4 linked regions of the Anolis sagrei genome follow. The protein of the gene in region 4 interacts with the protein of the main gene of each other region in a biochemical or structural test. Links are inferred from orthologs where the notes say so. Each region holds a gene or a part of one and is shown on either strand. Other genes may lie near its edges.

Region 1 (6,873 bases), about 1.8 Mb from region 4:
AGTGCCAAGGAAAGACAATTAAGGTTTTCCCAGTATTTGAAAAATAAACAACGGGATTCCACGTGTTAGACTGATAGCGTCTCCATGGGAATGAAATCGGTTTAAGTTAGCCCCTTGAATTGTTCTGTGTGAGAGAGACTGAATTTTCAAGAGATAGTCATTTTTAATGTTCTCTGGATAGGAGATTCTGGCCTTGTTTTCATGTCATGTTTTCTTGTTTGATATTGGGAAATAATATTTTGGATACAGTTCTTTGTCTATGTTTTATGGGTTTTTTACTTGGTTTCAGTATTGGACTCTGCTGTGTACTGTGACTGTAACCTATATTTTGGAATTATTTTTGAAGTCACTATTTGGGTTGTACTTCTGTTGTTGCCTTTTATGTATACCTGGAGAATACTTTGCTATTTTGTACTCTGGAATGTACTATTGAACTAGCTTGTTCTATATAACACTCTTTTCTTTAATAAACTTTAAATAAGTTGATTGATTCCTGTTGGCTGAGCTATACTTGGACTAATTAATTTTGGGTGAAAAGGTGCCACATAGGTGGTTGGGCTGCAACAGATACACCCATATGTCTCCAGCCTAAGGTGTCTCTTCTCTATGCTCCTTGATTGTATATAAAATAGAGGATTGAATGTGTGCTTGTATGAAAGCTTTGCTCCTGATCCCAAGTGGATGGGACTCCTTGAAATCATCTAAGCTGCCTCCACCTACTGATTTAGCCCCCCTGGCTCAGTGGGAAACTCCTGATGGGTTGACGTGGTCTTTTCCCTCTTGGACTCTATAGAGACTTTCCTATTCCCCCTTTGTGGTGAGGGATGAGAATGCGAGCAAAAGGCATGTGACAAGAGTATGAAAAAGCAATCTTTTTATTTTGAGCAAGCAATCTACTGGTGCATCTACACTGTTGAATTAATGACATTTAATACTGCTTTAACCTCCATGACCCCATGACTTCCTGGAATACACCGAGTTGTAGACCTTGTAAAACTACAACTCTCATGATTCCATAACCTTGAACATGGCAGTTCAAGAGATGTCAAACTGCATGAATTCTATAGTATAGATCAGGGGTCCCCAAACTAAGGCCCGAGGGCCGGATGCGGCCCTCCGAGATCTTTTACGCGGCCCCCGTTCAGGGTCAACATAAGTCTGAAATGACTTGAAAGCACACAACAACAACAAACAATCCTATCTCATCAGCCAAAAGCAGGCCCACACTTCCCATTGAAATAATAATAAGTTTATATTTGCTAAAATTGTTCTTCATGTTAATTATTGTATTGTTTTTAAGCGGATTTGCACCACAAATAAGATATGTGCAGTGTGCATAGGAATTCATTCTTTTTTTTTTCCAAATTATAATCCGGCCCTCCCATAGTTTGAGGGACTGTGACCAGGCCCTCTGTTTAAAAAGTTTGAGGACCCCTGGTATAGATGCACCCTGCATTTCTGCTGTAGAGGTTTGCACGCTGGTCTATAACTCTGGAGACCAGGATTTGATTCTCTACTCAACCCTGGAAACCAATGGGTAATCTTGGGTGGGTAACATACTCCGACCAACAAAAAACTCTGTTAGGGTCACCATGGGTCTGAAACGACTTGAAGGTACAACAACAATGTTTTTACATGAAATAATCTTCTATTAGGCACCCTTAGAGAAGTTACAAAATAGCCAAGGTCATATTTAGCTGAGGTTAAAGAAGCAAAATCGTCTAACATGTCTGAGAAATCCCTATTCTACTCACTATACAAACAGAATCCTAGTTTTAGATGTTCATGGGAGCTGGGAGTCTGGATGCTTTGCTCAGCTTCAACCAAGTTTCCTCCCCGGTGAGGCAGGGTACATCATTCCTTTGTCTTCCTTTGTCCCTCTCCTGCCTTATGATTGCCAACAGAAATATCTTGAGGCTTCCCAAACCAGATCACCCTCACTGGTCAGTGGTCTCCTGTGATCTTTGACTCCTTTGTGATGCTGACCCCAAACAATTTAGCAACTACATACATCCTGATCCACCTGGAGAGGGGCGAGATACCCCTCCCCTAACGGGAGAACCCATGACCACAGCTTGCCTTTAATTTTAATAATGGCATCAGCATGTGAATCCCTCTCTCAAAAACTCACATTACTTTTGGTCTATTGCTCATTAATCTAAATCCCCAGAACAAACCCCAAGAAGGGAATAATATAGCAAAAGAACGCAATGGAGGGGAAGTACAGTACATATGTCTGGATATGGGAGGATCAGATTTTCTATCCTGCATGATTACTTTTCACGTAATCCCCCAACCCATGTTAATGGAGCTGACAGAAAAATAAGAGGTCAGTTGTATCTAGTTTATCTTTAAAATAATTTGGCTATACTTCTCTTATTGAAAGACCAAAAAAATAAATAAAATAAAACAGCGTAAAATGAGGGGGGGAAAGGTATGGATTAAGTCCTATTATAGAGCAGACTCTCCATTAACCAGAACTCAAACAACCAGAACCCTCAAGCAACTAGCAGAAATATCAAAGAAATAATACTTTAAACACAAAAGCTAGTTTTATAATACATCAAAACAGTATAACTGTGTGACTTTATATATGGTTTGTCTTTATTTGTCTATATTCGCTTTTGTGTACCTTGTTTCAAAATTAATATCGAGTCAATACAGAGTTTATGGTTTTTTATGGGGCACTGTATTAGTTAAAATCGTAACTTCCAAGCAACTAGAAACTACATTTATCTGGCATCTACCAATTCCCATGGGTGCCGGTTAGCCAAGAGTCTACTGTATAAATGTTCATAGTCATTTTAATAATATTTGCACAGGGCTTATGAAACAGTTACAACCAACAACACTAAAGCAATACTCACTGCCCTCTCACACACCTTTTTGCCTCCTCTTTTTCTCCAGCAAGTCATAATGGAGATCTGCAGAAATCTATATGGAACTGGATCAATCTCTAGAAAAGTATCCCCAATAATTATATTCCTTTGGCTCACTAAAGCCATCAACAAATGTAGCACTTGGACAGGAAGATCAAGTCTCAAGAGAACTGAAAAGAAGACGAGACAATCAGGAAAGAGCAGTGGTGGGGTCGGGGGAGAAGAAACCACAGAGGAGGAGGGGAAAAACCACTAGTGTACCCTGTGACTCTGAGAAGGAGGAAGTAGCATATGGTGGGCGGAGGAAGCAGTTTTGCGGACGGACTGCAGTGCCTTCGCTATCAGAAAGGCCACACAAAAAGTATATGTCATGGTTTTGCATCTAAACAGTTTCTTATCTCTTTCAAATGAACATATAATTTATATTAACGGTAACAAACAGCAGCATTTTTTTAATTTGACGTATAACAGTAAAATCTAGGAAATAAACACCCAAAATACGCAAAACATGTGTCAATTAGGTAGGGAAAAGCCATCTCACAAGTGTAGCCACACCTTTATTAACCTCATTATCTACACACAAAATCTCTCCCCGGAACAAGGGCCAAGAAAGAAGTGTTTATCAGATGCCATTTCTTCTATAATGTGCTGAAAAAGTCTGAAAATGGTGATAAGAAGGAACTGGCTGTACTATCACAGAAGGTAGCAGATTGGTTGCAACTGTTTTACTTGATTCTAGCTAAAAAGAGATTTAATGTCATAGAGTAGAAAACCTAGTAGAGATCTAAGAAATAAGATGAAGGGAAGCAGATCATTTTCTGGAACCACCCTTAGTTCTGAGTGCCCAGATATTGACTACAACCAAAAATTTGCCACTTCAATGCCAGCTGACATGCCAAGTATGCTCACTTATAGAGCTTGTAGGTTTGGTCCAAAGACGTACACCTTACATCTGGACTTCTATCATGTATTCCCATGGCTTTGCCTCCGAAATAAACAAAAATTGGTTCCAAAGGCAGGCCAAACTGTTAATCATGAACACTTCTACACTGATTTCCAGTCTGTTTCTGGGTTCCAGTCACAGTTTTGGCGATAATCTTCAAATCCCTGCCAGACTAATCTTACAGTTATCAGATTTCAGCAAAGTATTTTGATTAGCAAAATGATTAATTACAGTGGGAACATTATGAGATGGGTCCATAACTGATTGAAAAGCTGTGCTCAAAAAGCCTTCGTCAATATCAATGGCTACGCTTAAGACTGAAAGGAGGTATTGAGCTTCTGTCCTAGGGCCATTACTCTTCAATATTTTTATTAGTGGGGTAGAGGAAATTGTTATCAGGTTTGCAGGTGACACAAAACTGCATGGGTGGCAAATACACTGAAAGACAAGAACAGATTTCCAAAGAATCTAGAATCTATTAATTGTATTGATTTTGGGCTAATTTTCTATTTTATCTAGAGGTGCATCCACACAGTGTGGAAAACACGTGGCTTCCTGGATTTTTATGTGGGGCATCCAAACAACGCCCCATGTAAAAACAAACTTCTTTGGGACAAAGAAGGAAAACCTCGCTTTGCCCTGAAGTAATTTGATAGTGAATTAGATCCAGGTCTTCCTGAAAGACCCGTGTCTCACCCACTATGCCTGCTGTCTGGACTGCCCCCTCGGAAATTCTGGGTCTTTCGAGGGGCAGTCTACACAGCCCTCTCCCATTTTTCAAGCTCAATCAGCCTGGAAAACGCAGAGAGCTCTAACCCCCCCCCCCCCACAACCCCTCCCTGGGCAATCTGGCTTAAGCTCTGCTGGCGTGGGCCCCTACACCCGATCCAAATTGCTTTATGGCTGCCGCAAGTGGTCCTTACCAAACAGAGTCCTTTAGTAGATTTCCAAGAGGAAAGAAGGCTTTCAATTCCCAGTGAAGGCTGGCTGTAAAACCGTGGAGCTGTATTTCTCCAGCAAAGAGCTGGCTGTAGAGTTGTGGAACTAAATCCCCCAACAAAGGCTATACTGTAGTTATCTGTAGAGCTGTGGGGCTAGAACCCCCCAGCAAAGCTGTAAAAGACGAAGCTTTCTACAGGAACTGATTTACGTCCTGTACGAAAGGCTTCTCTGTGTGAACTGGAGGTCCCCTTTTTCCCTCCTTAACCCAGAAAAAGGGGCAGAACTAAAGAACATAATGCTAATTGATGGGTCATTGGCCCTATTATTGCAAATCAAGGGTAGCCACCTTATTGCAAAATGCATGGAACTTTGGAATACATGCAAACACTCAATAGAAAGGAAAAGAAGTTGGAGCTCCTGGTACAGCTGTACCAGCACATATACTTTTCCCAGAATGTTTGCCCTTGCCTTTGTCTGTGGCTGAGAGAGTGTGACTTACCCAATGGTTTCCAATGATTGAGTGGGGATTTGAATCTTGGTCCCTCACCATCCTAGTAAACAATTCTTTTTCATGTCAGGAGCAACTTGTGAAACTGCAAGTCGCTTCTGGTGTGAGATAATTGGCTGTCTTTAAGGACTTTGCCCAGGGTATGCCTGGATGTTTTGATGTTTTACCATCCTTGTGGGAGGCTTCTCTCGTGTCCCCGCATGGGGAGCCGGAGCTGACAGAGGGAGCTCATCCGCACCCTCCCCGGATTCGGACATGCGTCCAATGGTTTAGCCCATTGTGCCAAGGGGGGCTCCTAGTAAACATTATAACTGATGGTTATAATGAATAATCTCTATGAAATAGATACAAAAGTGAAAGTCCACATAGCATGAAAAGAGTTCCCCAGGAACTCATAGCTTGGATCTTGCTGGGGGGACATTTTCTACATCTTTTGCAGTATTTGCATGAAAATTACACATGAATAAGCATAATATTGCTGAAATCTAACACACAAACCAGAGAGAAACATTGTCACCACATTATCTGTTTAATGCAAACCAGACAATTTTTACCACATTAGCTATTTTATGCAAGGAAGCATTTTTTTTCCCAGTACTCCTGCAGTAGTGTAGAGAAAAGCTGTCTGATCTGCATAATAAATCACTTCCTGGGTATCCGGTAGGGTTTGGCTCCAGGACCTCATGAGGATACCAAAGTTTGTGGGTGCTCAAGTCTCATTATATACAATGGTCTAGTAAAATGGTTTCCCCTTATATAAAATGATAACATCAAAATTTGCTTTCCCAATGTCTCTAATATTTTTAAACAGTGAAATATTGAATCCATAGATGATTGAACCCATGAGTATAGAGGACTGGCTGTAGTTCATCATGTGGCTAAAGCTATTTAAAGATATTGGCTGTGATGGCCTCCACATAAACTCTTTGACAAAAGCACACAAGCCTCTGGTTAGAGGGATGGCAGAATTCACTCTTAAGGGAAGTGTGGAAACCAGAGATACTGGATGCATTCTCTCATAGGAAACCACTGTGGGTGAATATTTAAACCCATATCCCAAGGGCCTGAGGCAGCAGGCTTTCCTTTTGTTCTCTACCCTGCATGGTCTGAAAGGCAAACTGGCAAACTCTGGTGCATCACAGAAGTATGTTGAAGGTTATTCCAAGCCTTTATGGCTCTGTACCACATACAGAATATGTGTGTTTACCCACCCTAACCCGACACACTTGAAATGAACTGGGAGATAGGCACACTCTTTAAAATGAGCAAATCCGGCACCAGGAATACTGCTGCCTTAGACAAATGACATAATAGTCCTTCTCTTCCCGTTCAACCTGCAGAAACCAACAAGGGACAAACTTTCTCTTTTATGATGGCTGGACCAGCTACTCACCCAAAACTCCATTTCACAAAGAAGAGAATGCGGGTGAATATCTATCCTCCTCCGTAGCAAAACCTATTCCTCAAGGCTCCTGCACATCCACTGCCTAAGGCAGCCACCTTACTTTGCCCAACGGTAAGGCCAACCCTGTAGAATCATCTAGTAATAAAAGGTGAAGTGCTTATCTTTATGGCATTAGTATCACCGTTTGTTTATCTGG
Region 2 (7,121 bases), on a different chromosome or scaffold from region 4:
TTCCAAACAGTAGAAGTAAATACCATGGGAACATGACAGAGCAACCAAAATGTGAAAGGATAAAGGCTAACTAGGGAAGGGATTTGCTTCTGGGGCAAAGTGACTTGGTTGGAATACAGTGCTGGGTGCAAACACTAACTTTGAGAAGCTTTTCCTCAAAAGAAGAGCAGGGAGGGAGGTGTCTCATTGCATGAAAGCTGACGTATAAAACCAGTGAGGGTTATGAGGGCTGGACAGCTGCAACAGCCTTGGCAGAGTGTTGAATTGCTGTCTCATCCTTGCCGATGGGAGTTTGAAATCAGCAGTAATCCAAGACCTTGGCAAAAACAGAAACAAAACAAAACTCAAGAAGCAAACTTTTTCTTTTCCAAAGCCTGCCAGGGCCCTAGGATGCCTTTTCTGTATAATGCAAAAAATGTTGTAATGTTTGAACATTTAATCAGTCAATCTTTTTAACCTGCCTTTTAAGCAAACTCTCCTAGAGCTGCTCACAATAAAAAGATGTTAAAACAATGGCTGAGCAAATATAATAAAAACAGTGTCTGACGCAAGACCTATTCTTATGGTCACCAGATTTCTTTGAACAGTGAGAATTTCCACGTATACAATGCTTTCTTGCTTTTAGTTCCTTTGAAAGACGTTCACCAGGGGTTTATTGGTTACTGGTTATTTGTTTACTTTTTATTGTACTTTATCAATAATCTCTCAGCCCTCCATTTATACACAGGTTGAGCAGAGATGGGGACATGGCTTCAACATTCCCGCTCAAAATCCTCTGCTCACATCAGACTGCCAAAGAAGTAAACAACATTTTAAGCTGCCTCAAATTCAACTCTCTCAGGCCTTTCCTTTGAGTTTCCTTAAGCTCTATCCCAATACTTTGCTACCTTTTACAAATATCTAGAATGCTATGTTCTTAGACAGGGGTCCCCAAACTAAGGCCCTGGGTCAACCTAAGTCTGAAATGACTTGACAGCACACAACAACAACAACAACAACAACAACAACAACAACGACAATCCTATCTGATCAGCTAAAAGCAAGCCCATACCTCCCATTGAAATGCTAATTTTATATTTGTTAAAATTATTCTTAATTTTAATTATTGTATTGTTTTAAAGTGCGTTTTGACTACAAATAAGATATGTGGAGTGTGCATAGGAATTAATTCATGATTTTTTCCCAATTATAATCCAGCCCTCCAACAGTTTTAGGGATTGTCGCCTGGCCCTCTGAACAGTTTGAGGACCCCTGTCTTCATATGAAGAGAGACAGATTTGATTTTTTTTCATCCGATACAGAATATTGCTCAAACAACCCAGAACTGAGAAACAATTATAGATATATATAGCTGTGAGACTGTATTCTGTGTGTGTGTGTGTGTGTGTAAATAACAGTCTCACAGCTATATATTGTTGGTTGTTTATCTAACAAGAGCTGTGGCAGGTCAAATCCAGTTATGAATCCAACTTTAAACAGCTCTTACGACCATTAGCTGCAGCCTGGTCAGTCTTACAACAGTGGTGTTTCCAAACTCTGGTTTTCCAAGTATTTTGGATTCGGCTCTCAGAATCCTCACTAACCGATCAAGACACTTGAGGCTCCTGGGAGTTGAAGTTCATAATACCTGGAGGACTAGATTTTGCAAATCACTGGTGCATAGTGTTGATGTGACTATAGCATATCAAGCATGTGTCTCCTTGCCCCAACTATAAATATGAGTCTTGGAACAATAATAGGCCAAAAAAGTCCAGTAAAATTTGACTTCAGGTATATCATATGGTTTGAGCAGTAAATTTTGAGGACAAAGCATTGGAGGGTAGAACTGGCAACTTCTACCCTCCTTAAATTGTTTAAGGTGGATTGAAAGAGTGATTAATACCTAGTCATACGCAGCCATTCTATTCTATTGTTGTTTCAAGAAATAGGTTTGGTTCTATTGGCCTTTGAAAACCCCTTTAATGAGGAACAAAAGCCGAAGAGACACCCATCTGCACAACACAGGAAGAAAACAACTCACCTTCAACTACTTTTTAATTCTCTTTCAAGGTAGTATCTGTAAATGCTAACATATAAGCAAATAGGGAAAGAACATAGATGAGCATGTATTCACCGAAACACAGATGGGTAACTGTACCCATATTCCGTATTAGAACCATGAACATATACAAACATGATTCTATGATGCTCTGTGTTTGCTTATGTGGACACAAGTGTACCAGTGCAGACACACACACACATCAATGGACTAGACTGCTTCAGACCATGTCATACAATCTAGCATCAAAAGATTGCACAAATCTTCTCTTTGCCATTGAATTTTGATTACTCTTTCTTGTCCTGGACATACATGTGGATGCATAACTATTAATGCTCTCAACAGTATATTGGCACAGCCTCAAATGTAGGTGCAAGTATCTAACCTCATTACATGCAAAGGCACAGTTGTGTTGTCTCACAACTACAAAATGACAATTTACAAGTAGAATTACCTCTGTGTTCCAGAGAAACAATTACAATGGTATCACAAAACAGATATGAAGTTCTTATCCTCACCGTTGAGTATTTACAAATACCACATACAAAAGAAGTTGAAAGCAGGCTTGACCCTTAATGGGTTTTTTTCTACTACCAGGAGATGGGAATATTCCATCCTGGAGAAGATATGAATCCATTTGCTTTACTCTTTAAGGAGTCTCAAACCACACCTACCCACCAACTAAGAGGCTTAGCTTCCAAATGAATAATGATGACTCTCATGCCTGGTCTTCACACTTCATGACCTCCATGACCACAACCCCCCGAGATGAGTGGTTACCTTGTAGAGGACAGCAACACATTCCTTTGCCCAGGGCTGGTGGATGCTTTGCAGGTGGGGTGGGGTGACTGTGGTGTTCCAGACACAACAGAAGACCACCCCTACAGCTCTCCTTTGGTGCAAATTCTGGGTCTCTTGTATGCTGCGCACCTTCTTGAACTGAGTGGCCCCGCTGGCCAAAGCCAGGACGCCGACACCGTCTTCTCCACTTTACTCCAAAGAGATTCTGCCTGTAACTGCGCAAAGGGTTCTTTCCACGCCTCCAAACCCCTCCCTTCCCCTGGCTGCTGAAGTCCCATATGCTTCACACTCAGCTAAGATGACAGGACTGGATGCTTCAAATAGTGACGACTACGGAGGATCCATCCGGCATGGCTCACTCTGTACCCTTCCCATCTTCTGACAGCCCCCTCCCTTCTCATCCCTTGCTCTCAGTCCCCAAGATGCTTAATTAATCTGAAGGACCATCATGAAGAAGGTGGCCACGGCTGCTCCACTGCATGCAGGTCAAATCTGTCTGGGTCATTCTTCTTATGGAACAGAAGTCATCTGGAGACACTGAGCGGCTCAAAATGCAGAGGGTGCCAAGCTATTTTTGTCCACATAAGAGATGGAGACAGGCAGGGCCATGTCAGGCCAACTACAGACTATAGCCCCAAAAAAGGGAGGGAGAGGCGGCCTCCTTACCAAGCCGAGCTTTCAAGCTCTTCATGTAAAATTCAGCTGCTGTAAAGGCATACTGAAAGTCACCTGAGGTCACGTATGTATATGGGGTATCTGTCCAAACAAACTTTATTTGTTGTGGTAAGGGGAAGGGTTAACCATTCCCTCCCATCTTTTACTCAACCCAGGCTGATAAACTTTTAACAAGGGGAATTCATGCCAGTCGTATCCGGGGAAGCACTTTTTATTATAGTCCTTACAAGAAACGTGACTGCATCTCACTCACAGCTTTTGTGCAGCGAAAGGAGAGCTTGAAGCGATGAATAATCCTCAAGGCAACACAAGCATTTGCCTCCAGGTATCCGGTCACAACATGGCAGCTGGTGAGAAGTTAAAATCAATATTTAGCCTTGGAATTACAAAATGGCTTCCCTGACTTTGTCAAATATCGTGCCCTTCACAGAAGAGCTGCACCTAGTGGCTTCAGTCAGCCAGAATAAGCATTTTCACATCCATACTGTCATGGGTTACAAGGGACCTACCTTAGGCATCCATGCACTAAAAATACAAAAACAAAGGTTGCAATTAGAAATTTTGCAAAGGAGAACAGGCTAAAATACAGACATTTAACAAAGCCTCTGACAATGAAGTTCCATTTTACAAAGCCTTTTTATGTCTTTTTCTCCTCTTTTCCTACTTGATCTTCGTTGAATCTGTGAGGATTTTAGCAGCATTAATGATGAATGGAAGAATTGCAGTTGTGGTGCAGAAGTGTCTCTGTAGTAAACAATGCATAGAACCATAGAGTTGGAAGAGATCACATGGGTCATCCAGTCCAACATCCTGCAATAAAGCAAAGGCAATAAACTTTGAATTAGGAAAGAATGTGATTCTATTCCAACCAATCCTACTGTAACTGTGTGTTACAAGGTATACAGCAAATTCCTCCAGAATCCCTTACTGACTTACTAAAAATAGCAAAATAGAGAGAAATTATGAGAGTAGATAAGCATGCCTCAACCAACTCTTCTTCTGCATGTTTAATAATAATAATAATAATAATAATCTTTATTTCTACTCCGCCACCATCTCCCCAATGGGGACTCGGAGCGGCTTACATGGGGCCAAGCCTGGACAACATAATACAGCAGTAAAATCAAAACATATACAGCAAACAACAACAACATCATCAAAATAACATTAAAAGAAAAAAAATCATAAGATAAACACAATCACAGTAAGGATGAAAATGGGTGAGCCACATATTCAGGATAAAAACAGTTAAACTATAATGAGATAAAATAGGGGCGGAGCATTTATATGGAACTCATAAAACACACAGAGTTGTGAGGCTAAACATCGTATTTGAAGGGCATGAACTCCAAAAAGCACTGATTTATAAATTTGGCCTTCAAAATGGAAACCACCAGAAAACCTGGACGATGTCAAGAAAGAGTCTGGAAGAAACCAGGGAACTAGCAGGTAAAATCAAAACAAAAAGAATCAGGAGGCCTCAATATTTCCAGGAATTTGCTTCTTTTCGGATGAGCCTTATTTTCCTTATTTAGCACTCTGATTTATTCTACAGTATATGTTATTTGAGATGGTTACATTTATAGTTTACATAATTGTATTACATTGTTTCCATTTATTAACTACAGAACATCCAAAATGCTCTGAACTCTTTCTTGCCACAAATAACTTGTGTTGGTTTATGGTAGAGTAATCCAAACATTTCATGCTCTCTAGCAGAGAATTTAAGTACTTAGATCAGAGCTTTCCAAACATTGCATGTGTGGGTGACACACTTTTTAGACCTGCATCATTTTGCAACATAGTAATATAAACCTTTCATTTATATTCTTAAAAATATACGATTTACTGTTTTCTCATAGACTCAGAGGTTGTTTTTTTGTTACATTCATGCAATGCATTCATGCTACACACATACATAATGTCTTACTATGCATTACTATGAGTCAATATAGAGGAAAATCTATATCAGGGGTCCTCAAACTTTTTAAACAGAGGGCCAGGTCACAGTCCCTCAAATTGTTGGAGGGCTGGATTATAATTTGGGGAAAAATGAATTAATTCCTATGCAAACTCCACATATCTTATTTGTAGTGCAAAAACATTTAAAACAATACCAATAACTAAAATGAATAACAATGTTAACAAATATAAACTTATTAGTATTTCAGTGGGAAATGTGGGCCTGCTTTTGGCTGATGAGATAGGGTTGTTGTTGTTGTGTGCTTTCAAGTCGTTTCAGGCTTAGGTTGATCCTGAGTGAGGGCTGGGTAAATGACCTTGGAGGGTCATATCTGGCCCCCGGGCCTTAGGTTGAGGACCCCTGATCTATATACTATATATTATGTATCTTTTCGGCACACCAGCCCTATGTGTCATGAAATATATGATGTACAATTGAATGGAATTGTATGAAAGATGAATGAATGAGAGCTAATAATTTTGGAGACACCATTCTGAACACTAAGGCCTGGAGGACAGATACACTCGGGGACTTTAATTAAAGATTGCCAAACTGCTGACATTAATAACCAGTGACAATGATTAACTGTTGAACTTTTGGGGGAAAACAACATGTTTACATTGATAAGAGACAATACCTCTTTAAGTTAAGGAAATTCTTACAAGATTCCTTATGTTCAGAAGGAACTCAACACAAGCCTTGCATTTACCAACACCAATTAAGAAGAGTCAACATCTGTCCAGGAAGCGATGAAGCCAGGATGTTTCCAACTGGAAAAATATCTATCATTTATTTACAACTTTGGAACAACATCAGCAGAAAATTGTTATACAAGAGACCTTATTAAAATTCAAAAATAGTGATAGACAGTGGCTGTTAAACCAACCCCCCCCCCCCCCCCCCCCAATGCTCTGCTCCTTGGGAAAGAGAGAGATGGTGTATGTATTTGGGAGTGACAGATCTGCAATGGAACGCAGTTTGGTCACTTGCCTCCTTTTCTCAAGGGAAGAGAAAGGAGTGTAATTTTGGAGTTTTGGATTTTGTGCAGGGAGTCAGTTTCTGCTATATGGAAAACAGGGATCTGATCCTTGGCATTGTTTTTAGGGAAAGAGGATGCATTTTAGAATTTTAGAAGTTTTAGAGGTTTTTGAAATATTGGGAATCTGACTTAAGATATGTTCTTCTCCAGGAGATGACGGAGGAATGTATGCATGAAGATGAATATATGGGTAATGTGAATGCCCCTGGGCTGAGAACAGCGGTATATAAGCAAAGTAAATAAATAAATAAATAAAATGCTGAGTAAAAATGTAATTCCCCTTTGTTTGTTTGTTAGCCAGTGTAGGTTGTTTGTGCATTCAATGTAGTTGCATTAAAACTGCATGCCTGCATGTCAAATGTTGTTCTGTAAAAATTTAAAAGTTCTGATATCCTTTCTCATACTGGAAAATCGCAATAAAAAGAATAAATAAACTTTATTTATACTCTGCCACCATCTCCCCGACAGGGACTCGGGGCGGCTTACATGAGGCCAAGCCCAGACAACATATTACAGCAAAATAAAACCAAAACATAAGCAACAAGCAACAACATCATAAGTACATAAGAACATATACTTTAAAGTTATTGAAAAGTTATTTATAA
Region 3 (7,188 bases), on a different chromosome or scaffold from region 4:
TTTATCGTGTCAGAAGCAAATTGAGAATTCAGTCATAATGTATAAAAAAAACAAAGGTAAAAACTTGGTATTATGCTAAAAGTACTTTAACCAGAAGTTGACCACTTGGAATGCCTCTGTTGTCACTGAAATCCTCCATTGTGCATGTGGTAGGGCTCAGACTATATTGTAGTAGGTGGTCTGTGGTTTGCTCTTCTCCACACTCGCATGTCATGGACTCCACTTTGTAGCCCCATTTCTTAAGGTTGGCTCTGCATCTCATGGTGCCAGAACTCAGTCTGTTAGTGCCTTCCAAGTTGCCCAGCCTTCTGTGTGCCCAGGAGGGAGTTTCTCATTGGGTCTCAGCCACTGATTGAGGTTCCGGGTTTTAGCCTGCCACTTTTGGACTCTTGCTTGTCAAGATTTTCCTGAGAGTATCTCTGTTGATCTTAGGAAGCTATTTCTTGATTTAAGACATTGGTGTGCTGGCTGATATCTGAACAGAGGATGGGCCAGAGATGTCAATGCCTTAGTCCTTTCATTACTGGCTGCTACTTCCCGACAGATGTCAGGTGTTGCAATACTGGCTAAACAGTGTAATTTCTCCAGTGGCGTAAGACATAGACAGCCTGTGATAATGCAGCATTTCTCATTAAGAGCCGCATTCACTGTTTTAACACTGTGAGATGTATTCCACACTGGGCACCCATATTCAGCAGCAGAATAGCAAAGCACAAGGGCAGATTTCTTCACTGTGTCCTCTTCTGATCCCCAGGTTGTGTCAGTCAGCTTTCGTATGATATGATTTTTAGCACCCACTTTTTGCTTGATATTCAAGCAGTGCTTCTTATAAGTCAGAGCACGGTCTAGAGCAGAGGTCCTCAAACTAAGGCCCGGGGGCCGGATGCGGCCCTCCAAGGTCATTTACCCGGCCCTCGCTCAGGGTCAACCTAAGTCTGAAATGACTTGAAAGCACACAACAATAACAACAATCCTATCTCATCAGACAAAAGCAGGCCCACACTTCCCATTGAAATTCTAATAATTTTATATTTGTTGAAATTGTTCTTCATTTCAATTATTGTATTTTAAGTGCTTTTTGCACTACAAATAAGATATGTGCAGTGTGCATAGGAATTCATTCATGTTTTTTTCAAATTATAATCCGGCCCTCCAACAGTTTGAAGAGACTGTGACTTGGCCCTCTTTTTAAAAAGTTTGAGGACCCCTAGTCTAGAGTGACTCCAAGGTATTTGGGTGTGCTGCAATGCTTCAGTAGGATTCCTTCCCAGGTAATCCTCAGAGCTTGGGATGCTTCTCTGTTCTTAAGATGAAAAACACACATCTGAGTTTTAGATGGTTTAGGAATCAGCTAGTTTTCCCTGTAATAGGCAGTAAGAGCACCTAAAGCTTCTTGGTGTTCTCAGTATCTATGCCAGTTTTTAATGTGAGCTTTAAGCCCTATGGCCTGAATGAGCCTGATTTTGACATTTAATTGTATATCTTTACATTTAATTGTACATCTTGAGTTGCCATATGGCTGAGAAAGGTGGGCTATAAATATAGTAAATAAATAAATAAATTTGAAAATCTTGTTCTTTCAAACAGGTCCTTTTGAGTCTTCTGATTTCTTGGCTACAGCCTCCATTGGGATTGGTGACTTGGGCCAGACCCTCGCTTTCAACAGGATTCCTGTGAGGCGGCTCAAAACAAGCTGGAAGAAATGGAAAGAAAAAACAAGCCAATAAGAGGAGTGAAATCAGCAGCTGCGTCCTAAGTGGCACAATTGCATTTCTTTAAAGGCTGGCACAAACAAACTAGCTTTTAACCTGGAAAAACAAAACAAGCCAATTACTTGTATTGTTGAAGGCATTAATGGCCGGAATCACTGGCTGAGGTGAGTTTTCTGGGCTGTATGTCCATGTTCCAGAAGCATTCTCTCCTGACGTTTTGCTTGCATCTATGGCAGGCATCCTCAGAGGTTGTGAGGTCTGTTGGAAACTAGGAAAATGGGGTTTATATATCTGTGGAATGTCCAGGGTGGGAGAAAGAACTCTTGTCTGTTTGAAGCAATGGCCACCTTGAATAGCATTGAATAGCTAGAAGTTTCAAGGTCTGGCTGGTTGCTGCCTGGGGGAATCCTTTGTTGGGAGATGTTAGCTAGCTCTGATTGTTTCTTGTCCGGAATTCCCCTGTTTTAGAGTTTTGTTCTTTATTTACTGTTGTGATTTTAGAGGTTTTTTTTTTTAAAAAAAACTGGTAGCCAGATTTTGTTCACTTTCATGGTTTCCTCCAGTTTGTTGAAATTGTCCACATGCTTGTCGATTTCAAAGACTTCGCTGTGTAGTCTGACGTGGCGGTTGTTAGAGTGGTCCAGCATTTCTGTGTTCTCAAATAATATTCTGTGTCCACGTTGGTTCATCAAGTGCTCTGCTATGGCTGACTTCTCTGATCGAGTTAGTCTGCAGTGCCTTTCATGTTCCTCGATTCGTGATTGGGTGCTGCGTTTGGCAACTCCTATGTAGACTTGTCAGTTACTTGCTTTGTGGAAAACAAGTAACAACGGTTGCATGTAGGACATTGTGACAAAAAAAGGGGCTGCAGAAATGACCAGAAAATGTCAAACAGTGAATGGAATGGTTTGTTGTATGTTTTTCGGGCTGTACGGCCATGTTCTAGAAGCATTCTCTACTGATGCTTTGCTTGCATCTGTGGCAGGCATCCTCAGAGGTTGTGAGGTCTGTTGGAAACTAGGAAAATGGGGTTTACATATCTGTGGAAAGTTCAGGGTGAGAGAAAGAACTCTTGTCTGTTGGAACTATGTATAAATGTTTCAGGTGGCCACCTTGATTAGCATTTGATGGGGGACAGTTTTAAAGTGTGGCTTGTTACTGGCTGAGGGAATCACAAGAAACAATCAGGGACAGTTAACCCCAGTGGCACAATGGGTTAAACCCTTGTGCCAGGAGGACTGAAGACCGACAGGTCGAAGGTTCAAATCTGCAGAGAGCGTGGATGAGCTTCCCCTGTCAGCTCTGGCTCCCATGTGGGGACAGGAGAGAAGCCTCCCACAAGGGTGGTAAAACATCAAAACATCTGGGCGTCCTCTGGACAACATCCTTGCAGACGGCCAATTTTCTCACACCAGAAGCGATTTGCAGTTTCTTAAGTCGCTCCAGACCGGGGGGGGGGGGGGGGGAGCCATTACCTCCCAACAATGGATTCCCCCGGGGAGTAACAAGGCAGACCTATAGAATCATAGAATTGGAAGAGACCTCATGGGTCATCCAGTCCATCCCCCTGCCATGAAGCAGGAAAATTGCGTTCAAAGCACCCTTGACAGATGGCCATCCAGCCTCTGTTTAAAAGCTTCCAGAGAAGGAGCCTCTACCACACTCCAGGGCAGAGAGTTCCACTGCTGAACGCCTCTCCCGGTCAGGAAATCTTCCTAATGTTCAGATGGAATCTCCTTTCCTGTAGTTTGAAGCCATGCATGTCCTTGTCTCCAGGGCAGCAAAAACAAGTTTGCTCCCTCCTCCCTATGACTTCCTCTCACATATTTATACATGGCTATCATGTCTCCTAAAAACTGTCTCCTAAAAACTGTCAGACCATCAAATGCTAATCAAGGTGACCAATTGAAACATTCTCACTTAGTTCCAACAGACAAGAGTTCTTTCTCCCACCTGGACATTCCACAGATATATAAACCCCATTTCCCTAGTTTCCAACAGACCTCACAACCTCTGAGGATGCCTTCCTTATATGCAGGTGAAACGTCAGGAGAATATGCTTCTGGAACATGGCCATACAGCTCAAAAAGCCTACAACCCAGTGATTCCGGCCATCAAAGCCTTGGACAATATAGTGAATGGAATTCCAGGCAACTTCTTTCCCCACAAAGAACAGCAAGGCTCAAAGAAACCTTGGAAGAGGCCTCAGCCCACTCTTTCCTCGCACTCTTTTCCTGCCCCTTCTTCTCCTGCCTTTCTCTCTCTCTCTCTCCTTCCTTCCTTCCTTCCTTCTCCGCCTGGGTTTAAAAACAGCAACCCAGAATCTAGGCCAGCCTTGGCAGAAGAGAATCGCGCTTTTCGCAGGGCACCTTCGGAGCCCCTCCTGTTGTGGCTGCCTCTGCTGTTGTCATGGTTCCTTCCTCGCAAAGCCTTGGAGGGAAAGGAGGGGAGGCGACGGGGCTGTGTGTGTGTGTGTGTGTAACTGAAGAGGCTGGACCTCCAGCCGCTCCATGGCCGGGCGGGATTAAGTTTCATGGCTGTCTGTGTGTTTATCCTCCCGTTACTTCAGGAGGGGAAAGGGAGCAGAGGGGCAGGGAAAAGGCCCCCCTTCAAGTCTGGCTCAAAGAGAGAAAAACCCCAGGGCTGAACCAAACAATAACCCTTCAGCTCCAAACCTAGAGCTGAACTCGTGAGGGGGGAAAAGTGTGTGTATGTGTGGAGGGTCATCTCTGGAGAAGCAACTGAGCGGGAAATTAACCCTTCAGCTCCAAAGCCCACCCGCAGCCGGACTTGGGGAGGGAAAGGGGGGCAGCTCTGGAGACTGAGAAGCAGACCCGGCCTGGTAAGCGAAATGTGCTGCGTGATACATTGTGCAAATGTATGTGTGTCTCTCTCCCTCTCGGAAGCGGCGCCAAGGAAGCAGGCAACATCCCGGCTCTGGCTTTTGTTCCTGGCGGGAGGCGTTGGAGGCAGCCTTTCTGGGGCTTCCTCGACCCCTCTCCTCCATCCTCCCCCCTCCCTTTCCCTGAGGAGGGGGCGTCCTCGAGGCGGCTTGGCTTCTGTTTTTGCAGAGCTTCCAAGGGGCGCCGAGAGAGAAGTATGCCTTTCTATGTGGAGATGGGTCCAAGGGGGCTTTGCTGTTGCTGCTCTTGCTCAGCCTCTTTCCATTTTTTTAGGAAGGAAGGAAGGGTGGGTGGGCGCTCCCTGGGAAAAAAGGCAAGGCCGGGTCTTGCATTGGTTGCTGTGTCCTGTGGGGGGAAAGGAGGGAGAGGAAGAGGAGGAGGGAGAAAAGCAGGAGGAGGAGGAGGAGGAGGAGGGAAGCGCCGTGGCCGGCTGGAGAGGGAAAGGTCAGGCCGCCTGTTGCTTCTGGAGCTGGTGGGACTGGCGAAGTTCCAGCAGTCGGACATGAGGGAAGGAGAGGGGAGGTCCTTCAGGGGTGCGGGTGGGAGGAAGGAAGAGGGCAGGAGGAGGAGGAGAAGGAGGAGGAGGGGTTCACCGGGGGCCACGCTTTGGGCCTCGGGAGGAGCGAGGCGGGATGCGGGTCGGTTCTGCTTCAGCGCCGGCCTCGGGTAGGAGGGGTTTGGGGATATCAACAAAAGCGCCGCTTCCTCTCGGATGGGGATGGCTTCGGGGGTCACAATGGGAACAAAATAACTCTTCTGCCTCCACCCCACCCGCGTGGCCCCTTTTTGTGCCACAGTCTGCCCCACTATCTTGAGGCTATTGGGGTCCCTTTCTCTCCTTCTTGTTCTCTCGCCCTGCAAAGGCTTGAAATGGGAAAGAAGTTGGAGGGCTTTGGGAGGAAGTGGGATGTGTCCCTGCTACCTGCGCAGTTGAGGGTGTGGAGGCGAGGGAGGCAGATGAGACAGAGCATCCTTCCTGGGCCAGTGGAGTCTCGCTTGACTTCCTCTCTGGAATGCCCTTTATAAAGGTGCATCTAGGCCAGGCATAGGCAACCTTCGGCCCTCCAGGTGTTTTGGACTTCAACTCCCACAATTCCTAACAGCCTACTGTAAGGGTTCATCTAGGCCAGGCATAGGCAAACTTCGGCCCTCCCGGTGTTTTGGACTTCAACTCCCACAATTCCTAACAGCCTACTGTAAGGGTTCATCTAGGCCAGGCAGAGGCAAACTTCAGCCCTCCTGGTGTTTTGGACTTCAACTCCCACAATTCCTAACAGCCTACTGTAAGGGTTCATCTAGGCCAGGCATAGGCAAACTTGGGCCCTCCAGATGTTTTGGACTTCAACTCCCACAATTCCTAACAGCCTACTGTAAGGGTTCATCTAGGCCAGGTATGGGAGAACTTTGGCCCTCCGGGTGTTTTGGATTTCAACTCCCACAATTCCTAACAGCCTACTGGCTGGAGCCCTCAGTGGCACAATGGGTTAAACCAGTGGTTCTCAACCTGTGGGTCCCCAGGTGTTTTGGCCTACAACTCCAAGAAATTCTAGCCAATTTAACAGCTGTTAGGATTTCCAGGAGTTGAAGGCCGAAACATCTTGGGACCCACAGGTTGAGAACCACTGAGTAAAACCCATGTGCCGGCAAGACTGTTGACTGAAAGGTCAGCGGGTCAAATCTGGGAAGCAGGGGGAGCTCCCGTCTATCAACTCCAGCTTCTCATGTGGGTACATGAAAATAGCCTCCCACAGGATGGTAAAACATCCAGGCAATGTCCTTGTCGATGGCCAGTTCTCCCACACCAGAAGCAACTTGCAGTTTCTCAAGTCACTCCTGACATGGAAAAAAGTTGAAGTCCAAAACACCTGGAGGGCCAGAGTTTGCCCATGCCTGATCTAGACTATACAATGAACTCTCTGTGGCATCTCTTTGACTGCTATGGCTCAATGCAGTGGGATCAAGGGAGTTGTAGCTTTACGAGGTCTTTCACCTCACTGGTCTAATTCCAAGGGTTTTATTCAACCATATGAAAGTGGCATCAAACTGTGCAGATTTAACATCACTTGGAACTGCTATGGCTCAGTTTTATGGAGCCCTTGGAATTCTTGTTTTCCAAAGTCTTTCGCCTTCTCCCCAAAATATAACTCTCAGGATTCCACTCAACTGTAGCAGGCAAAGTAGCATTAAACTGCGCTGATTTGACACCACCTGAAACTACCATGACTCAGTGCTATGGAACCCTGGGAGTTGTGATCTTCCAAGTTCTCAAGCCTTCTCTGTTGTAGTAGTGGTGTCTCACCAAACTACAAACTCCGAGATTCTGTAGCATTTGGCCATGGCAGTTTAAGTGGTGTCAAACTGCATGAAGTTGACATCACTTGGAACTGTCATTGCTCACTGCTATGGAATCCTGGGAATTTGGGGTTTTACAAGGCCTTGGGCCTTCTGTGCCTCACCTGACTATAGATCCCAGGATTCCGTAACAGTGAGCCTTGGTGTCAAACATCTTTTGTTCTATAGTGTAGATGTGCCCTAAAATGACTGTAGAATCTGGATAGAGGTGAAAAGTCCAG
Region 4 (7,009 bases):
AAATGGGTGTGTCTGTGCAAGCATCTCTGAATGCTGTGATACCTATTCAACTGCAATGGAATCCTGGAATTTGTAGTGTACTGAGGCACCTGCACGTTTGGGCAAAGCAAGCTCAAGACCTTGCAAAACAAACAAACACTCCGGACTCCATAGCATTGAGCCAGGGCAGTGCAAGTGGAGTAAAGGTGCTTGAAATCTGCAGTGGAGATGCACCCCACGACACAGATAATGATGAGGATGAGGATAATACAGGTATGGGCAAACTTAGGCCCTCCAGGGGTTTTGGACTCCAACTCCCACAATTCCTAACAGCCGGTAAGCTGTTAGGAATTGTGGGAGTTGGAGTCCAAAACTCCTGGAGGGCCCAAGTTTGCCTATACCTATGATCATCTATATATATAAAAATGCTGTTCATTTTGAGTGACATAACTCAAAAACCGCTGGACTAATTGCCACCAAATTTGGCCACAAGACACCTACTAACCCAAGGAGTGATCATCACTCAAAAAAATTAATTAAGTCATTTGGGAGTCGTAGTTGCTGGGATTTATAGTTAACCTACAATCAAAGAGCATTCTGAACACCACCAATGAATTGAACCAAACTTGGCACACAGAACTCAAAAGACAAACAGAGAATACTGGAAGGATTTGGTGGGCATTGACCTTGAGTTTGGGAGTTCTAGTCTATATATATATAAATGTAATGTTCGTTTGTGGGATTAACATAACTCAAAAACTACTTGACGAATTGCCACCAAATTTGGCCACAAGACACCTACTAACCCAAGGAGTGATCATCACTAAAAAAATTAATTTTGTCATTTGGGAGTTGTAGTTGCTGGGATTGATAGTTCACCTACAATCAAAGAGCATTCTGAACTCCACCAATGATGGAATTGAACCAAACTTGGCGCACAGAACTCCCACGACCAACAGAAAACACTAGAAGGGTTTGGTGGGCATTGACCTTGAGTTTTGGAGTTGTAGTTCACTTACATCCAGAGAGCACTGTGGACTCAAACAATGATAGATCAGGACCAAACTTGGCACGGATACTCCATGTGCTCAAATACAAGCACAGATGGAGTTTGGGGGAAATAGACCTTGACATTTGGGAGTTGTAGTTACTGTGATGTACAGTTCACCTACAATCAAAGAGCATTCTGAACCCCACTAATGATAGAATTGGGTCAAATTTCCCACACAGAACCAAAAATACTGTGTTTTCTGGTGGTCTTTGTCGACCCTTCTGACACCCCCTCACAACTCCTCCAGGAATCCCGACTCCCAGATTGAGAAACACTGACTTAAGACCATCCAGTCCAACTCCCTTCACCAAGGCAAGAAAACATAACCAAAGCCCTCCTGACAAAGAGCCATCCAGCCATAGATATAGATAGATAGATAGATAGATAGATAGATAGATAGATAGATAGATATGTTGACACACACATATATGTAGATGACAGATATAGTGTCATAGATTTGAAATGGCCCACTAAAGGACAATCCAGCCATAGATATACACAGATTTACATGATTCACACGCACACACATTTATGTATATGACTGATATAGTATCATAGTTTTGAAAGGGACCTCTAAAGAAGGAGATACGATAGCCATGTATAAATATGTGAGAGGAAGCCACAGGGAGGAGGGAACAAGCTTGTTTTCTGCTTCCCTGGAGACTAGGACGCGAAACAATGGCTTCAAACTACAAGAAAGGAGATTCCATCTGAACATGAGGAAGAACTTCCTGACTGTGAGTGCCGTTCAGCAGTGGAACTCTCTGCCCTGGAGTGTGGTGGAGGCTCCTTCTTTGGAAGCTTTTAAACAGAGGCTGGATGGCCATCTGTCAGGGGTGATTTGAATGCAATATTCCTGCTTCTTGGCAGGGGATTGGACTGGATGGCCCATGAGGTCTCTTCCAACTCTATGATTCTATGATTCTAAGGACAATTATATGTCGCATGTTCCAGAGTAGGCAAACCTGACAATCTCCACATCAACACTGACAAAGAAACAACAAGCATAAAGAAATTACATATATTAGAAACCAACACTTTCTCATTACTTTATTTTCCAAATCACCAGACTTTTCTTTTTTTTGGTCGTGTCAGGAGCGACTTGAGAAACTGCAAGTCGCTTCTGGTGTGAGAGAATTGGCCATTTGCAAGGATGTTGCCCAGGGGACGCCCGGATGTGTTTGATGTTTTATCATCCTTGTGGGAAGCTTCTCGCATGTCCCCGTATAGGGAGCTGGAGCTGACAGAGGGAGCTCATTCGTACTTTCCCCGGATTTGTGAGAGAATTGGCCGTCTGCAAGGACGTTCATCAGGGGACGCCCGGATGTGTTTGATGTTTTATCATCCTTGTGGGAGGCTTCTCTCATGTCACCGAATAGGGAGCTGGAGCTGACAGAGGGAGCTCATCCGCGCCCTCTCCAGATCTGAACCTCTGACCTGTCGGGTCTTCAGTCCTGAGGGCACAGGGGTTTAACCCACTGCACCACCGGGGGATCCAGATTGAGCCACAGCAATGCATGGCAGGGGACGGCTAGTATATTGTAATAATCAATAATAATCAATTCCTGGCTCCCTCGCGCGCGCCTCAGGGACGCTTCCAGCTCTTGGGATGCAACTTCAAAGCCAAGCCTTTGGAAGCGGCACCGAGGAGGGCGTGGAGCGCCTAACTCAAGCCGGACCGGGGAAAAGAAGCGAGCGAGGCGGCGCTGAAGGAGCCTTTGCTTCAGGTGCCCTAACACACGCCCCCTCCCTTCCTATTCCGCTTCACCCCGCTCACCCACCTGTTGCCGGGCAGCCCAGAAGCGCCGCCAGCCAGGCCACTTCGAGAGCCCAGGAGGCTTTCATGACGCCAGCAGCGAGCGTCCCTCCCGACGGACCGACTGACTGACTGACCTCTTCCAAAGCCAGGCGAGGAGTGAGAAAGGAAGCGCGGGCGGCGCGCGACACATCCAACCTCGGATGCCGCGCGCGCTGGCGGGAGAGGGAGGGAGGGGGCGTCCAACTCCCCCCTCCGGCTTCTCCCCTCCCTCCTTCCCTTTCTCTCTCTCTCTCTCGCAGCCACGCCCCTTTGTTTCTCCCTCGCTCGCTCGCGCACCCTCTTTTCTCGCCTCGCGCGCGCCTCAGGAAGACCGTTGGGCGCTTGCTCCCAGCTCTTGTGTCTGAGGCAGTGGGATTCTCTCCCCTTTTGTGGAAAAGTCAATTGCCTTTTCAACACATAATAATAATAATCACAACGCTACGTAACACGGTTTCAGTGCCTGACTTATCATTGCCATTTCCTAATTGGTCCTGTCATAAAAACATGGGGAAAGTTTATTAAACTACGAACACTTTATATAGGGTGCCTTTCCACATAAACCCCCCAGTTCTAAATGCCTCAGGAAGGGAAATGCCAACCCTATATCCCAGAATACCAAGGCAGGAAATCCCACATTGACTGAGTGTGGACTCAGACAACCCAGGGCCTCTCCACACAGCCCTATATCCCATTATATCAAGGCAGGGAAACCCACATTAACTGAGTGTGGACTCAGATAACCCGGGGCCCTTCCACACAGCCCTATATCCCAGAATACCAAGGCAGGAAATCCCACATTAATTGAGTGTGGACTCAGATAACCTGGGGCCCTTCCACACAGCCCTGTATCCCAGAATATCAAGGCAGGAAATCCCACATTAACTGAGTGTGGACTCAGATAACGGGCCCCTTCCACAAATATATTCCCAATATATATTCCCAAATATCAAGGCAGGAAATCTCACATTAACTGAGTGTGGACTCGGATAACGGGGCCCTTCCACAAATATATTCCCAATATATATTCCCAAATATCAAGGCAGGAAATCTCACATTAACTGAGTGTGGACTCGGATAACCTGGGGCCCTTCCACACAGCCTGGGGCTCTTCCACGCAGCCCTATATCCCTGAATATCAAGGCAGGAAATCCCACATTAACTGAGTGTGGACTTGGATAACCCGGGGCCCTTCTACACAGCCTGTGGGCTTTCCACACAGCCCTATATCCCAGAATATCAAGGCAGGAAATCCCACATTAACTGAGCGTGGACTGAGATAACCCAGGACCCTTCCACACAGCTCTATATCCCAGAATATCAAGGCAAGAAATCCCACATTAACTGAGTGTGGACTCGGATAACCTGGAGCCCTTCCACACAGCCCTATATCCCAGAATATCAAGGCAGCAAATCCCATATTAACTGAGTGTGGACTCAGATAACCCGGGGCCCTTCCACACAACCCTATATCCCAGAATATCAAGGCAGGAAATCCCACATTATCTGAGTGTGGACTTGGATAACCTGGGGCCCTTCCACACAACCCTATATCGCAGAATATCAAGGCAGGAAATCCCACATTAACTGAATGTGGACTCAGATAACCCGGTGCTCTCCCACACAGCTCTATATCCCAGAATACCAAGGCAGGAAATCCCACATTAATTGAGTGTGGACTCAGATAACCTGGGGCCCTTCCACACAGCCCTGTATCCCAGAATATCAAGGCAGGAAATCTCACATTAACTGAGTGTGGACTCAGATAACGGGGCCCTTTCACAAATATATTCCCAATATATATTCCCAAATATCAAGGCAGGAAATCTCACATTAACTGAGTGTGGACTCGGATAACCTGGGGCCCTTCCACACAGCCTGGGGCTCTTCCACGCAGCCCTATATCCCTGAATATCAAGGCAGGAAATCCCACATTAACTGAGTGTGGACTTGGAAAACCCGGGGCCCTTCTACACAGCCTGTGGGCTTTCCACACAGCCCTATATCCCAGAATATCAAGGCAGGAAATCCCACATTAACTGAGCGTGGACTGAGATAACCCAGGACCCTTCCACACAGCTCTATATCCCAGAATATCAAGGCAAGAAATCCCACATTAACTGAGTGTGGACTTGGATAACCTGGAGCCCTTCCACACAGCCCTATATCCCAGAATATCAAGGCAGCAAATCCCATATTAACTGAGTGTGGACTCAGATAACCCGGGGCCCTTCCACACAACCCTATATCCCAGAATATCAAGGCAGGAAATCCCACATTATCTGAGTGTGGACTCGGATAACCTGGGGCCCTTCCACACAACCCTATATCGCAGAATATCAAGGCAGGAAATCCCACATTAACTGAATGTGGACTCAGATAACCCGGTGCTCTTCCACACAGCTCTATATCCCAGAATACCAAGGCAGAAAATCCCACATTATTTGAGTCTATGGCAGGCATCCTCAGAGCTTGTGAGGTCTGTTGGAAACTAGGCAAGTGAGGTTTATATATCTGTAGAATGTCCAGGGCTGGATAAAGAACTCTAGTCTGCTTGAGGCAAGTGCAAATATTTCAGCTGGCGAGCTTGATTAGCTTTGAATAGCCTTGCAGCTTCAAAGCCTGGCTACTTCCTGCCTGGGGATCCTTTGTTGGGAGGTGTTACTAGCCCTGATAGTTTCTTGTCTGGAATCCCCCTGTCTTCTGAGTGTTGTTCTTTATTTACTGTCCTGATTTTGGAGTTTATTTTTTAAATACTGGTAGCCAGATTTTGTTTATTTTCATGATTTCCTCCTTTCAGTTGAAACTTCGCTTATTCTGAGAGAGGTCTAACAATCCATGCATTGCTACTGATACAGGTTGAGCATCCCTTACCCGGAATTCCAAAATACACCCCAAAATCCAAAATTATCCACAAGAGGGCCTGAGATAACAAGACCTTTGCTTTCTGATGGTTTCATGTATACAAACTTGTGCTTCATTTATATATATATATTTAAAATATATATTACATAAACTTAGTTGGAGGCTGTTTATAATTTTGGGTTTAGACTTGGGTCTTATGTCTAAGACATCTCCTTGTGTGCAAATATGCAAATACAGGAACCCAAAGAACCCCAAATCCAAAGCACTCTGGTCCAAGCATTGCGGATAAGAGATACTCAACATTTGTATGCTAAAAAGTAAACCAAGTATCCATAAATCACATTAGTCACTCTCGGTTGGCATGCCAGTCTTTCGCAGAGTGCAATTGAGCATACCCAACTCACAGTTTCCACATTTAGGAATAGTTCAGCATGGCTGCATCTGGGCCGGCTCCCTAATGAAAAACAGTGAAGCCACCACTTCTCAGGTGGCAACATCTGAGCCATTTCCCCATCATCTTTCAGCCCTGGCAGTTTCTTTATAAGGAATAAAGGCTATAAAGAAGAGGAACAACATTTTTCGACAACACAGATCCAGCCCTATTATATCAGGCTAGATCTACACTGCCATATAAAATCCAGATTATCTGCTTTAAACTGGATTATATGGCAGTATAGATCCAGCCTCAGTCACCAAAATGCCTTAGGGTGATCATGACCTGGACTCTGCTAATTTTTTCCCCATTTCTCTTATGGCATTTTTATTGAAGAATTGTGAATGTTAAGAATGTGTGGTATTGGATTGCCGTGTCAATGGGTAACAATAGAATTGTAAGCATTTGAGTAAGGCTGGATCTACACTGTCCTATATGCCAGGATCTGATTCCAGATTATCTGCTTTGAACTGGATTATATGAGTCTACACTGCCAGATAATTGTGGATCGGATCTGTGATATAGGGAAATGTAGATCCAGTCTAAGACCCCTTCTACACTGCCTTATAATTCAGATAATCAAAGCAGATAATCCATACTATCTGCTTTGAACTGGATTATGAGTCTACACTGCATATAATCTAGTTCAAAGCAGATAATCTGGATTTTATATGGCAGTGAAGTAGGGGCCTAAGACTTCTCAGAGACTAGTTAGGCTCCTTCCACACAGCTGGATAAATCCTATATTATTTGATTTGAACTGGAATATATGGCAGTGTGGACTTAGATAACCCAATTCTAAGCCAATATTGTGTAAATTTCTGCCTTGATATTCTGGGTTGGTTTTTTGTTTTTGTTTTTTTCGTGTCAGGAGTGACTTGAGAAA

Evidence for each region.
Region 1: the proteins of KIT (region 4) and TEC form a complex in vitro, tested with the Homo sapiens proteins (2 studies listed by BioGRID and IntAct, with this or other methods). The link is inferred for Anolis sagrei from reciprocal best matches to the Homo sapiens genes KIT and TEC.
Region 2: the proteins of KIT (region 4) and GRB7 form a complex in vitro, tested with the Homo sapiens proteins (3 studies listed by BioGRID and IntAct, with this or other methods). The link is inferred for Anolis sagrei from reciprocal best matches to the Homo sapiens genes KIT and GRB7.
Region 3: the proteins of KIT (region 4) and MPDZ form a complex in vitro, tested with the Homo sapiens proteins (2 studies listed by BioGRID and IntAct, with this or other methods). The link is inferred for Anolis sagrei from reciprocal best matches to the Homo sapiens genes KIT and MPDZ.

Annotation. Positions count from the first base shown.
Region 1 is NC_090025.1:75,990,728-75,997,600, reverse strand, and holds the start of TEC (tyrosine-protein kinase Tec), read right to left. Parts: upstream 3,018-6,873; 5' UTR 3,006-3,017; coding exon 2,883-3,005; intron 1-2,882.
Region 2 is NC_090026.1:42,671,179-42,678,299, forward strand, and holds the start of GRB7 (growth factor receptor-bound protein 7), read right to left. Parts: upstream 3,025-7,121; 5' UTR 2,841-3,024; coding exon 2,819-2,840; intron 1-2,818. UniProt on the Homo sapiens protein: Adapter protein that interacts with the cytoplasmic domain of numerous receptor kinases and modulates down-stream signaling. Promotes activation of down-stream protein kinases, including STAT3, AKT1, MAPK1 and/or MAPK3. Promotes activation of HRAS.
Region 3 is NC_090022.1:214,825,256-214,832,443, forward strand, and holds the start of MPDZ (multiple PDZ domain protein), read left to right. Parts: upstream 1-4,162; 5' UTR 4,163-4,554; intron 4,555-4,729; exon of another isoform or gene 4,730-4,809; intron 4,810-4,996; exon of another isoform or gene 4,997-5,059; intron 5,060-5,212; exon of another isoform or gene 5,213-5,281; intron 5,282-7,188. UniProt on the Homo sapiens protein: Member of the NMDAR signaling complex that may play a role in control of AMPAR potentiation and synaptic plasticity in excitatory synapses. Promotes clustering of HT2RC at the cell surface.
Region 4 is NC_090025.1:74,176,274-74,183,282, forward strand, and holds the start of KIT (mast/stem cell growth factor receptor Kit), read right to left. Parts: upstream 3,006-7,009; 5' UTR 2,876-3,005; coding exon 2,812-2,875; intron 1-2,811. UniProt on the Homo sapiens protein: Tyrosine-protein kinase that acts as a cell-surface receptor for the cytokine KITLG/SCF and plays an essential role in the regulation of cell survival and proliferation, hematopoiesis, stem cell maintenance, gametogenesis, mast cell development, migration and function, and in melanogenesis.